Linked DNA regions of Drosophila melanogaster. The protein of the gene in region 1 purifies or fractionates together with the protein of each later gene. This does not show direct contact. Each region holds a gene or a part of one and is shown on either strand. Other genes may lie near its edges.

Evidence for each region.
Region 2: the proteins of Ilp8 (region 1) and Sil1 purify together in Drosophila melanogaster (affinity purification with mass spectrometry, with the first as the bait; one study listed by BioGRID). This does not show direct contact.

The regions. Positions count from the first base shown.
Region 1 is NT_037436.4:17,029,038-17,033,814, reverse strand, and holds Ilp8 (Insulin-like peptide 8), read left to right. Parts: upstream 1-1,734; 5' UTR 1,735-1,917; coding exon 1,918-1,929; intron 1,930-2,907; coding exon 2,908-3,106; intron 3,107-3,530; coding exon 3,531-3,772; 3' UTR 3,773-4,003; downstream 4,004-4,777. Other genes in the region: CG7730 (uncharacterized protein), read right to left, coding at 4,224-4,777.
Region 2 is NT_033777.3:25,232,859-25,237,327, forward strand, and holds Sil1 (Sil1 nucleotide exchange factor), read right to left. Parts: upstream 2,672-4,469; 5' UTR 2,540-2,671; coding exon 2,404-2,539; intron 2,341-2,403; coding exon 1,187-2,340; 3' UTR 778-1,186; downstream 1-777. UniProt on the Drosophila melanogaster protein: Required for protein translocation and folding in the endoplasmic reticulum (ER). Functions as a nucleotide exchange factor for an ER lumenal chaperone of HSP70 family.

The DNA.
Region 1 (4,777 bases):
TGGCAAAAAAAAAGAAAACAGCATAACCAAAACGAATGTGGAAACGAAACCGAAACCAAATCCGAACCGAATCGGAATCGGAATCAGAAACGTAACAATCTGAACCCATAAAAAGTCGGCCGAAAGTGTGCATTGACCGAGAGAGCGGCTAAAAATATCCGAAAAAGAACGTAACACAAACGATCTGATAAAATAAGAACGCACGATGATGACGCCCGATCCAGAACAACCGTTAAGTGCTCCACCCCAAATGATGCTGCAACAGGGTGAGCGAAAGAGAGGGCGAGCCCGATACCGAAAGAGACAGAGGCAGAGCCGAACAGAAACGACAGTGAAAGTTCTACACTTTCGCTTTTTCACAGAACCCTGCTATCATACGAAAAGCAGCAATCGTAGAGATAGAAACCTTTGGAAATACAATACATAGTACATCAGCAAATGTGCGGTAACTTTATATATTATTTCTATATAAATCTGAATGTTTAACAACAATTTCGCTGGCCTTCCATTTTTTATTCACAACATAATACAATTTTTTTTTTTTAATGAATTCATTTTTTTAGACTTTGAACGAAATGCCCCCTATATGAACATTAAACTTTACTGTTTATTGGTTTCTGCAACCAGTTTTTTAAGAATGTTATGTTATCATTTAATTTCAGGTTGAATAAAACACCATGAGGTCCATTGGAATATTATTCAATGCAAAAATTTCTTAAGCTTTCAAATGTCTTAGCTTTCCATTGCTCAACGAACCTGTCATTCTAGACTCTTTACTTATAGTAAACAGTAGTACTTTGCCACTGAAAAAGATGGTAAAGGCATTTGGATCATTTTTTAGCATGCTAAATGATGAGTGAGTCTGGTACAAAGTATGATTTAACAAATGATTACCGCATTAAAGCTAATCACTGTTGTTTTTCTCGACTTTCAATGGGAAACGCCAGTCAACAATTTCAATTTTACAGTTCTTCAAATTCTACACACAATATTTGAATGGTTTTATGGGTCTGTTCAACTTGTTTATGGATCCACATAAATAAGCAATCATATTAGAGAAGCATGCACGGCTATCAAGAAGTGCGTTGCCCTGGTTGGAAAAGCCCCGGCAACAAGGTCCAAGTTTTCACTTTCACTGCCACCATCGGCCGTCAAATCACCAGTAGCTATTACTACCTTATTACATTGCCAAGGTGCGCTGATAAGAGTGTTTTTAGACTGTTCCAGCTAACAGTATTCGCCTCGGCTTTATCAAGAGCAGCAGCAAGTCCAGCAGCATGTGACTGTGACTCAGTGAGTCCGCCGAGTCCATTTATGTTGAAATTCGTTTAAGATCGAAACGGCGGCGCCATGAAACTATAAATGCCAACTCTTCTGGTCTGACGTCCGTTCCGAGGCCCATTGATAAAAAAAAATGTATATTTCTGAATGCTCGGCGCGCCCTGCCGCTTACGCAAAACTCCTGCGAGCGGATCCCGATCCCCAAAAAGCCGAGACCGAACCCCATAACCCATACCCCATACTCCATACCCGAAACCGAAACCGAAGAATTACAAATCCCGAAATCTGCTCTCTCTCTCTCTCTCTCTCTCACCCCCATCGCCCATTCCCATTGAAAAGTGAAGAGCGGCTGTCTGAGCGGCAAACTGAGCCGATCCGAAGCGCCGATCCTCGATTTTTGAGGCGCGTATAAAAGCTTGGCTACGTCGGCAACGAAAGCTCATTGTGCGCTCGCCGCTCGTGATTATCAGGTAACGTCGATCGGACGGACGGGTTAACCATTCAGCAAGTTAGCTCTGCAGCAAGTTTGCCCGCCAAAAGAAAACACGTATACGTAGTGTTGCAGCCAGAAAGGTGATCGACGTGCCTACTGATCTATTGATCTATTGAGAATTGTGATCCTAGAACGCCACTAAAATGAGTTCAAAGGTGAGTTCGAGTTGAAGTTAAACTCTTATTTTTGTTTTTTAACTATTACACTAGCATAACTAATTCGTGTAGCTCTTTAGCATTATAGTTGGTTAGTTGCTCAGCACCAAAGCATTAAACATCAAACATTCAGTTCTCAGAATGATTTCATACACCAAATTATGCATTCCTTGAAATCATTGTACTGAACTTAAACATTTCCAGTACAAGGTGGACTTTTCCAAATTGAGTCCAGAAATTTTCCAAACAAATAACTGTCTTCTAAGAACACTCCACTTTAATTACTTAAATTAGCTTCGCGCCACAAAAAAAGTGGGTGTGTGCAATTAACAGGCTGTCAGCTAAAAATATCAATATCCAATATAAACAAATGCGCTTTTGTTCTCCGCGGGCAAGAGCATAATGCCCGCATCGATTCCGAATCGGATTCATATGGCGGACTGGAGTGCTAAACAGACTGGAGTGTCACCGCAAGGTGCGATATACGAAATGCGAAATGCAAAATGCGGAAATGCCTACCTGCGGGGCGCATTACATAATTTCCACTTCAGCTCCAGATCGCCGTAATGTCGGGGAAGTTTCGGTCATTAAAAGCGGCAATTAAAATTCACCATTTGGCCGCGTCGACTTGCAAATGCGCTCCAGTTTATGTTTCGATCTTGATGCGATATTGACCCAGTTAATGGGCGGCATACTCCGGTGCGTGGGAGTCGGCGACGTCATCCAGACATCCCGGCATCCCGACACCCGGCTGTCGTCATCCGAAGTGGTTAATCCAGATGTGTCCAGAGCGGCGATCCAGATTCACATTGAAATGCCAAAGCAGGGCAGAGTGCAGCCGGTTAGAGGATCGTTGTAACACTTATGCGATAAATTCTGAACGTCAGCGATTTATAATTAGGAGCCGGAGGCCGGTTGGGTGTTTAATTTGGAATATACTCATACTCACTTGTTGTTTCGCCCGCTCCTCCATTGCAGTTGCATATGTGCCGCTGGATGCTGCTGGTCATCGGAGTCTGTTGCCTGATGGGCAGCTCGTCGGGCAGCTTCTGCTCCCTGGAGCGGATGAAGAAGTTCGCGATGGAGGCGTGCGAGCACCTCTTTCAGGCGGACGAGGGTGCCCGCCGCGACAGAAGGTCCATCGAGTTCGCGCACCACCATCTGAATCGACTTGGATGTAAGTATCTAGATCTAGATCTTAGATTTTAGAGCATAGTGTGGCACTAGGAAAAAAAATGTTTAAAAATATTTCGGATAAATTTAAAGATCAAATTATTATAATGCTTCGTTATGACTTTACCATTTTTAAATTTTGTTTCCAACTATAATACTTACGTTTTAAAATCTCAATTAAACAATATCCACTGAACATCGATAAGGAAAAGATTAAAATATTGGATTAGCGAGCTAATAAGGTCAGAGTGTCAGTCAACCCGACAATTGCATTCGGAACTGCATATCGAAAACACGTTTTTTTTTAAGTGTGTAGATTGCAATTAATACGGCATTTGCATAAAGCAGTTCCGATGCAAAAGTTAACCGACTTCAAGGCGCAGGTTCAAGATCAATTTGCTCACTGGCAACGTTTTCCCCCTTTTCAGCCGGCAAAACGCACAACAAGCATCACTACATCAGCCGAAGCAGCTATCCAATGGGTGGCTACCTGAAGGTGACCCGGGAGCACTTCAATCGCCTCAGCGAACTGGACATCTTTCCGCGCTACAAGCCCATCAAGCCGCACCACGAAAAGAAGCATCGCTTCAAGAGGGATCACTCGAGCAGGTCCTACAACAACATTCCCTACTGCTGTCTAAACCAGTGCGAGGAGGAGTTCTTCTGCTAAGAGAGCTCCAGTGTCATGCTCCATGCCCCACGCTCCAAGTCGGTGCCATCTGGTCAGAATCTTCTGAATCCGTCCATAGTTATAGTTAGGCTATTCATGTACATTCTACAAGTCGCGCTCACTCTTATAGAGTACCTTATTTGTGCCCACTCCCAGGGACACAGATCCATTTACAGTATTTATACACTTAGATCGATTTTGAATAAACAATCGAATACGGCAACTGATCGGAATTAAAGTGTTTTTTATAAAAATTGGTGGACAGTTAAAACTAAACAAACATTCAGAGAATTTAACAGCATATTAGGTTTAGAAGACGCATATAAAGGCTTAAAAGATTATTACAATCCTAGTACAAATGAGTCACGATGGCTAACAAATCTTTGTTGTATCACAATCTATTAATCACTAAATCACTTAATAAACCGACAGCTCGAACCATGGAATCAGCTTATATGGAACTAATATAGTAGGCGCCTTTGCAAACGTTGCATTTGTACTTGCGGCAGTTTTGTTCGCCAACTGGCTCCAGTGATCGAAAGTACTTGGATACCACCATCAAAATATCCTCACGTTGTCTCTGAAGGAAATCTTCGCCGAAGTCATCAAAGGTTTTAACGCAATGCATTAGAATGCGATAGAGGACCGCTTCAGTTGATACGAACGTATTCAGCGAGCGATCAATGTAATCCACGTTCTCCTCTACGAATGTGCGGGTCATCTGCATTAGAAGCTGTACAGCCTGATCGCTGAAGTATCTGGCCATGGCCTCCAAAACGTCCGTAAAGCTAGCCAGATTGCCGATATGCTCAACGAATTTTCCGCCGAACTTCTGTGCGAGCATGTCCATATTGATCACCATCTGCCCGCCAATGCCGTAACTCAGTATTTGGGGCAATAAAGTGGTGGCCACTGTAAGTCCCTGACTTAGGTGTGAGTTCATATTGTGAAGACTGAGGAGTACCTCCTTAAAAGGGATTTCGTTGAGGGTTCTCACAATATCAA
Region 2 (4,469 bases), on another chromosome or scaffold:
CACTCGTCAAGCGTAAGCGTTTCGGCTGGAAAGCGGCAAGAGGCAGGGGGAAGCGTAGCGGCGGTGGGGCAGTGCCATGACAACAACAACAGCTCGCCGCCACTGCGCACGCGCCCCAGCTGGAATTGGAATTGATGAGTGAATTCCAGTTCAGGAATCCTCTCCTGCCTCTCTGCGTTGTGCTCCACTGAGCCGGCTTTGCAACCCCTTTTCTCTGTTTACATTGCATGGAGTAGCCATGGGAACCAAGGCGGCGTCCTAGCCGGCTCCCTTCCAGGCGCTGCTTCACCTTTACCACTCCACCTATCCGACCATCCACCGTCGTGACTCAGCCCCAGTGACATTGCATTTGCATGTGACTGCCGCTAATTGCTGTAATTCCCGCGCTGGACTTCGACTCCAACTTCCAACTTTGCCGGCACATAATTGCACTCTCCTGCTCCGATGTCCTTTCTCCTCCTGTACAGTTCCGTGCCAGGTTTTCCCTGTTCTTGTGGCTTCGTTTGGCTCACATTCAAACTTCAAGTGGTTTTTTGGGACATGCTTTCCTCGGCGTTTTTGCTTTCCTTCCGACACTTTTGACTTACTTTATGGCCCGGTCGATTATGCTCGCCTTATCGGGCTTTAAATGGGTCTGTAGTTCTATAGGGGTGGAATATCCAATCTCCTAATGCGATTTCTTGATTGAAAATACATTTCCTTTCATAATTTAGCACTACATTTTAAGAATATGCCACTGAAAAGAAGTCAACTGATTTAAGAAAGAATTTCTAAATTAAACATTAGGTCATTGCTTTATTATTGTAGCTACAATAAACAAGAACTTAAGGCTTTAAGGATTCATAATCTGTTTGGAGAACAATTCTGTAGCATACAAATTTTTGCTAGTTTAATGACGTGTAACAACATAATTATTTTGATGTGCTCGTTGGTGAATCGTCTGCCTATTAAAAAAAAATCACACTTAAAATAATCTTAAGTAAGAGACTATATTTGATAACGAAAATCCTGTAGATGTTTGGCATGATTGATTGCTATCCTAAGTTAATGACAAAGAGCATTATTTTTGCATCACAAGTACTTGGCATCTTAGCTATCGTATTCTATGGTTTGGCTGCGAATTTCATTCCAACTCAGCTTACAATTAAATGAAATTAACATAAATAACATAGTAAATTGGCTAGGATTACAGTTCGGTGTGCTTGGGCTTGTTGAACAATCTCTCGCACAGTTTGGCCAAAATCTGGGACACCTCCAGTCGGTACTCGTCCGTGCTGTTGGCATACCGATTGCGAACGGTTAATAGTGCATGCCTGAGACCGGAACTTTGCGACCACGTGCTGGTGCACATATCTTCGGTGGTCTCCAATGCGGTGGCAAACTGTTCCACCACCTCCGGTTGCTCTAGGAGGAGCAGGAACTCCTTGGTTAGCACAGTGTCCACCGCCGCGCAGTAGCCCGGCGTTTTCAGCCACGACTCGAAGTCCAAGAGCACATATTGCGCCATTGTGGATGAGGCTTCGGGATCATCTTTGCTGACATCCAGCACTGACCGCTTCTCCAGCACTAGGTCGCTTATGAGAGTCACTACCTTCGCCTTGCTCCGCAGCTCCACATCCGGACTCTGGAGCACCTTGATCAGAGCCTGTGTACCCGAGGTGGAAAGCACTCGCTGCTGGGCTAGCGGAAATTTCCGCAACAAGGCTCCAAAGGCGTGCAATGCAGCGGAGATCTCACCGACATTTCCGGAACTGGTCAGAATCTGAGCCAGATGAGACCCGAAATTCTTTTCGAACACCTTGATCTGGGCCTTGGGATTGTTGCTCGCCAGCGAGCCCAACACACGCATGGCCGACACTCTCAGGGATGTACTGGTATCGTTCACAACAATGGGCAGTAGTACATCATCCAATCCCCCATTATCAATGAACATCAAGGCATTGTCTATCTGATGGAGCAAATACTCCAGATTTTCCAGGCAGTCCAGCTTGGAGCGCATCTCTGACTCTAGCGGCGTTCTGCTGAAGTTCCGAAACTGATCGATTAACTGGACGATCAGTTCTCCGTCGGTGCGAAAGTTCTTCTGGAACTCTTTGTACGCTTTGCGTAGCTCGGCATAGCTCTTCTTCTGCTCCTTGACCCGCCGTATAGACTCCTCGATTATGTCCGGTTTATAGTCCAGAGCCAGGGGTTCGTTGTCATCGTGAGATTCCCGAGCATTCTGATCATCCGGTTGACTCTGCAGCGACGTGCCACGTTCGCTTTCGTCTAAGAGTTTGGCTTCCTTGAGCCCCGTTTGTAGGTTGATGCGCACGTGCAGGCCCCTTGGAATAGCTTGACCTGGAAATATAGAGTGCTCACTTAGTACACGTCATCCGAGAGTTAGCCTGGCTAGCCATTAACCTTCCGCAATCGTCTGCCATTCGTCGGTGGCCACGAAATCGTTGGTTTTGTTATCCGTTTCCGTTGCCGCTGCCACTTGTAAGCATCCCAGGATCAGGACACTGCCCAGAAGGATGACTACCTGCTTGCCACTCATACTGCTTCAGCTTGTCTTGCCTCCAGAATGTATTCAGTCTTTATTTCACCTGGTTTTAAGTAAGTTTCGTGAGAGTTTTTAAATCAGATTTCAGACTTCTGATGTGGATGTGGTTAATAGTATGACCGTAGGGAGCTGCATTGATTATACCGCATGTGGCGATATGTTCCGTGGAGAGCCAGTCGATTCGGAACCAGTCAAAGGCGGTTACAATTCAATTTCAAATTTGAAAATATTTGTAATCAATAAATTCGTTATAAACAATAGAATATATTAAAGTATTGAAAAAGTGTAAACTATATGTATGCTTTATAATCTTTCTTTATATTTATTAGATTGTGCTGTTGGACATTCCAAGCCAAATCTTATATAAATAAGTAATACAAAAATTAAGTAAAAATTTTTATGGTTAATTTTTGCTCTTAGTCCGGAATAGTTGGAAACTTTAAATGATTTCAAACATTATTTCGCTAACAAATTAATTTTTATCCCTAACGAACACAAATATTAATATTTTTAAACCTTAGTTTGTTGTGAAAAACAAGCATTGCTAGAAATTTCCAGACTTGAAATTAATATTTAAGAACCAGAAAAAGTTAATGCCATTCAGAACGATTAAACCACATCAAACCAGAATGCCACCAAAAATTCCCAAACTCATCGTGAATTCATTAAAAATTGAAAAGTAACCGCCATTCATAAGCTTTCCACTTCGTTACAACGTAGCTAAACTAGTTATAAACTAAACGTATTTACTGAGTTTACAAAGAAAAACGAAATCATGTTTACGCGCAGATGAATCAACCAACTCAAAATTGAAATGCCAAATTATTTGCAGGCAAGCCCGACGTAATAAAATAAAAGCGTGTTTGCATATATTACCATATTTCGCCCCCGAAAATCCGTTGTAATCTCGATGTCTACGACAGCGTCTAGGAATTGGCTGCGCAAACACATCAAAGTGGACAAAAGTGAAATATTTGGACTCACCTGGCGCCAATTGGATGGGTAAATAAACAGAATGCCGGTTTCATGCCAATCACACACCAAATATACATATACATATGTATATATGTAGTATATGCTAATTGCTGATGACGAACGCCAGGAGCCTTTAACTAGAATTTGCCAAATTAAATTCACTCGGCCCGTTCCGAACGTCGCCTGTCCAATAGTTTTGAAAGTGAAGCCACCTCGCCGAGCAACTTTTATCCGTCGATCCATCCATTATCGATTATCGATGCCGTTGGAACCTGTTTGATGTCGTCCAAAATGCCCGACTATGTCTAATTGGTTTATGTCGGAATTGAGTTGTGTTGGCCACAAAAAGATTTATCTTCGTACATATGTCCAAAACGGAAATTTCATAGTTGGGAGCCTTGGGATGCATTCTTCCTTCTGGTCGGAATACAATTTCATAACTTAAGTGATTTTTATCGTGGATCCTTAACCATGACCTATTCATTATCATTCCCTTTCAGATTGCCTGGCCATTTAGCACACTTAGGAATTCCCCCAGAGGTAGGTTCCCAATTCCAAGTGCTGATCTCAAAGCAAATATGGGATGAATAATATCATAAGCCAATAAGTACGAATTGATATTTGCACTTTATTAAAAGTGTGAACAAAGCGCGGATTCCATTTCACGGAGTTTGAATCTATAAAAAGTACACAAGATGCCGAAATATAGTGCAAATTATATATGTATAATTAAATTATATATATATATAATGCATTGCAGGATAAGTGGAAATATATTGGTTAATTGCTTGAAAACTGACTGGATTGAGCATTAAAATTTTGAGTTTCGCTGCCTTTTGTGCGCGTTGCCATTGTTATTGTTTATTGTTATTTGTTGCTGCATGCTAATAATATTAATTAATAATAATGCTGCTGCCAATTCTGGTTAGGGGTAGCTGCGATAAAGATA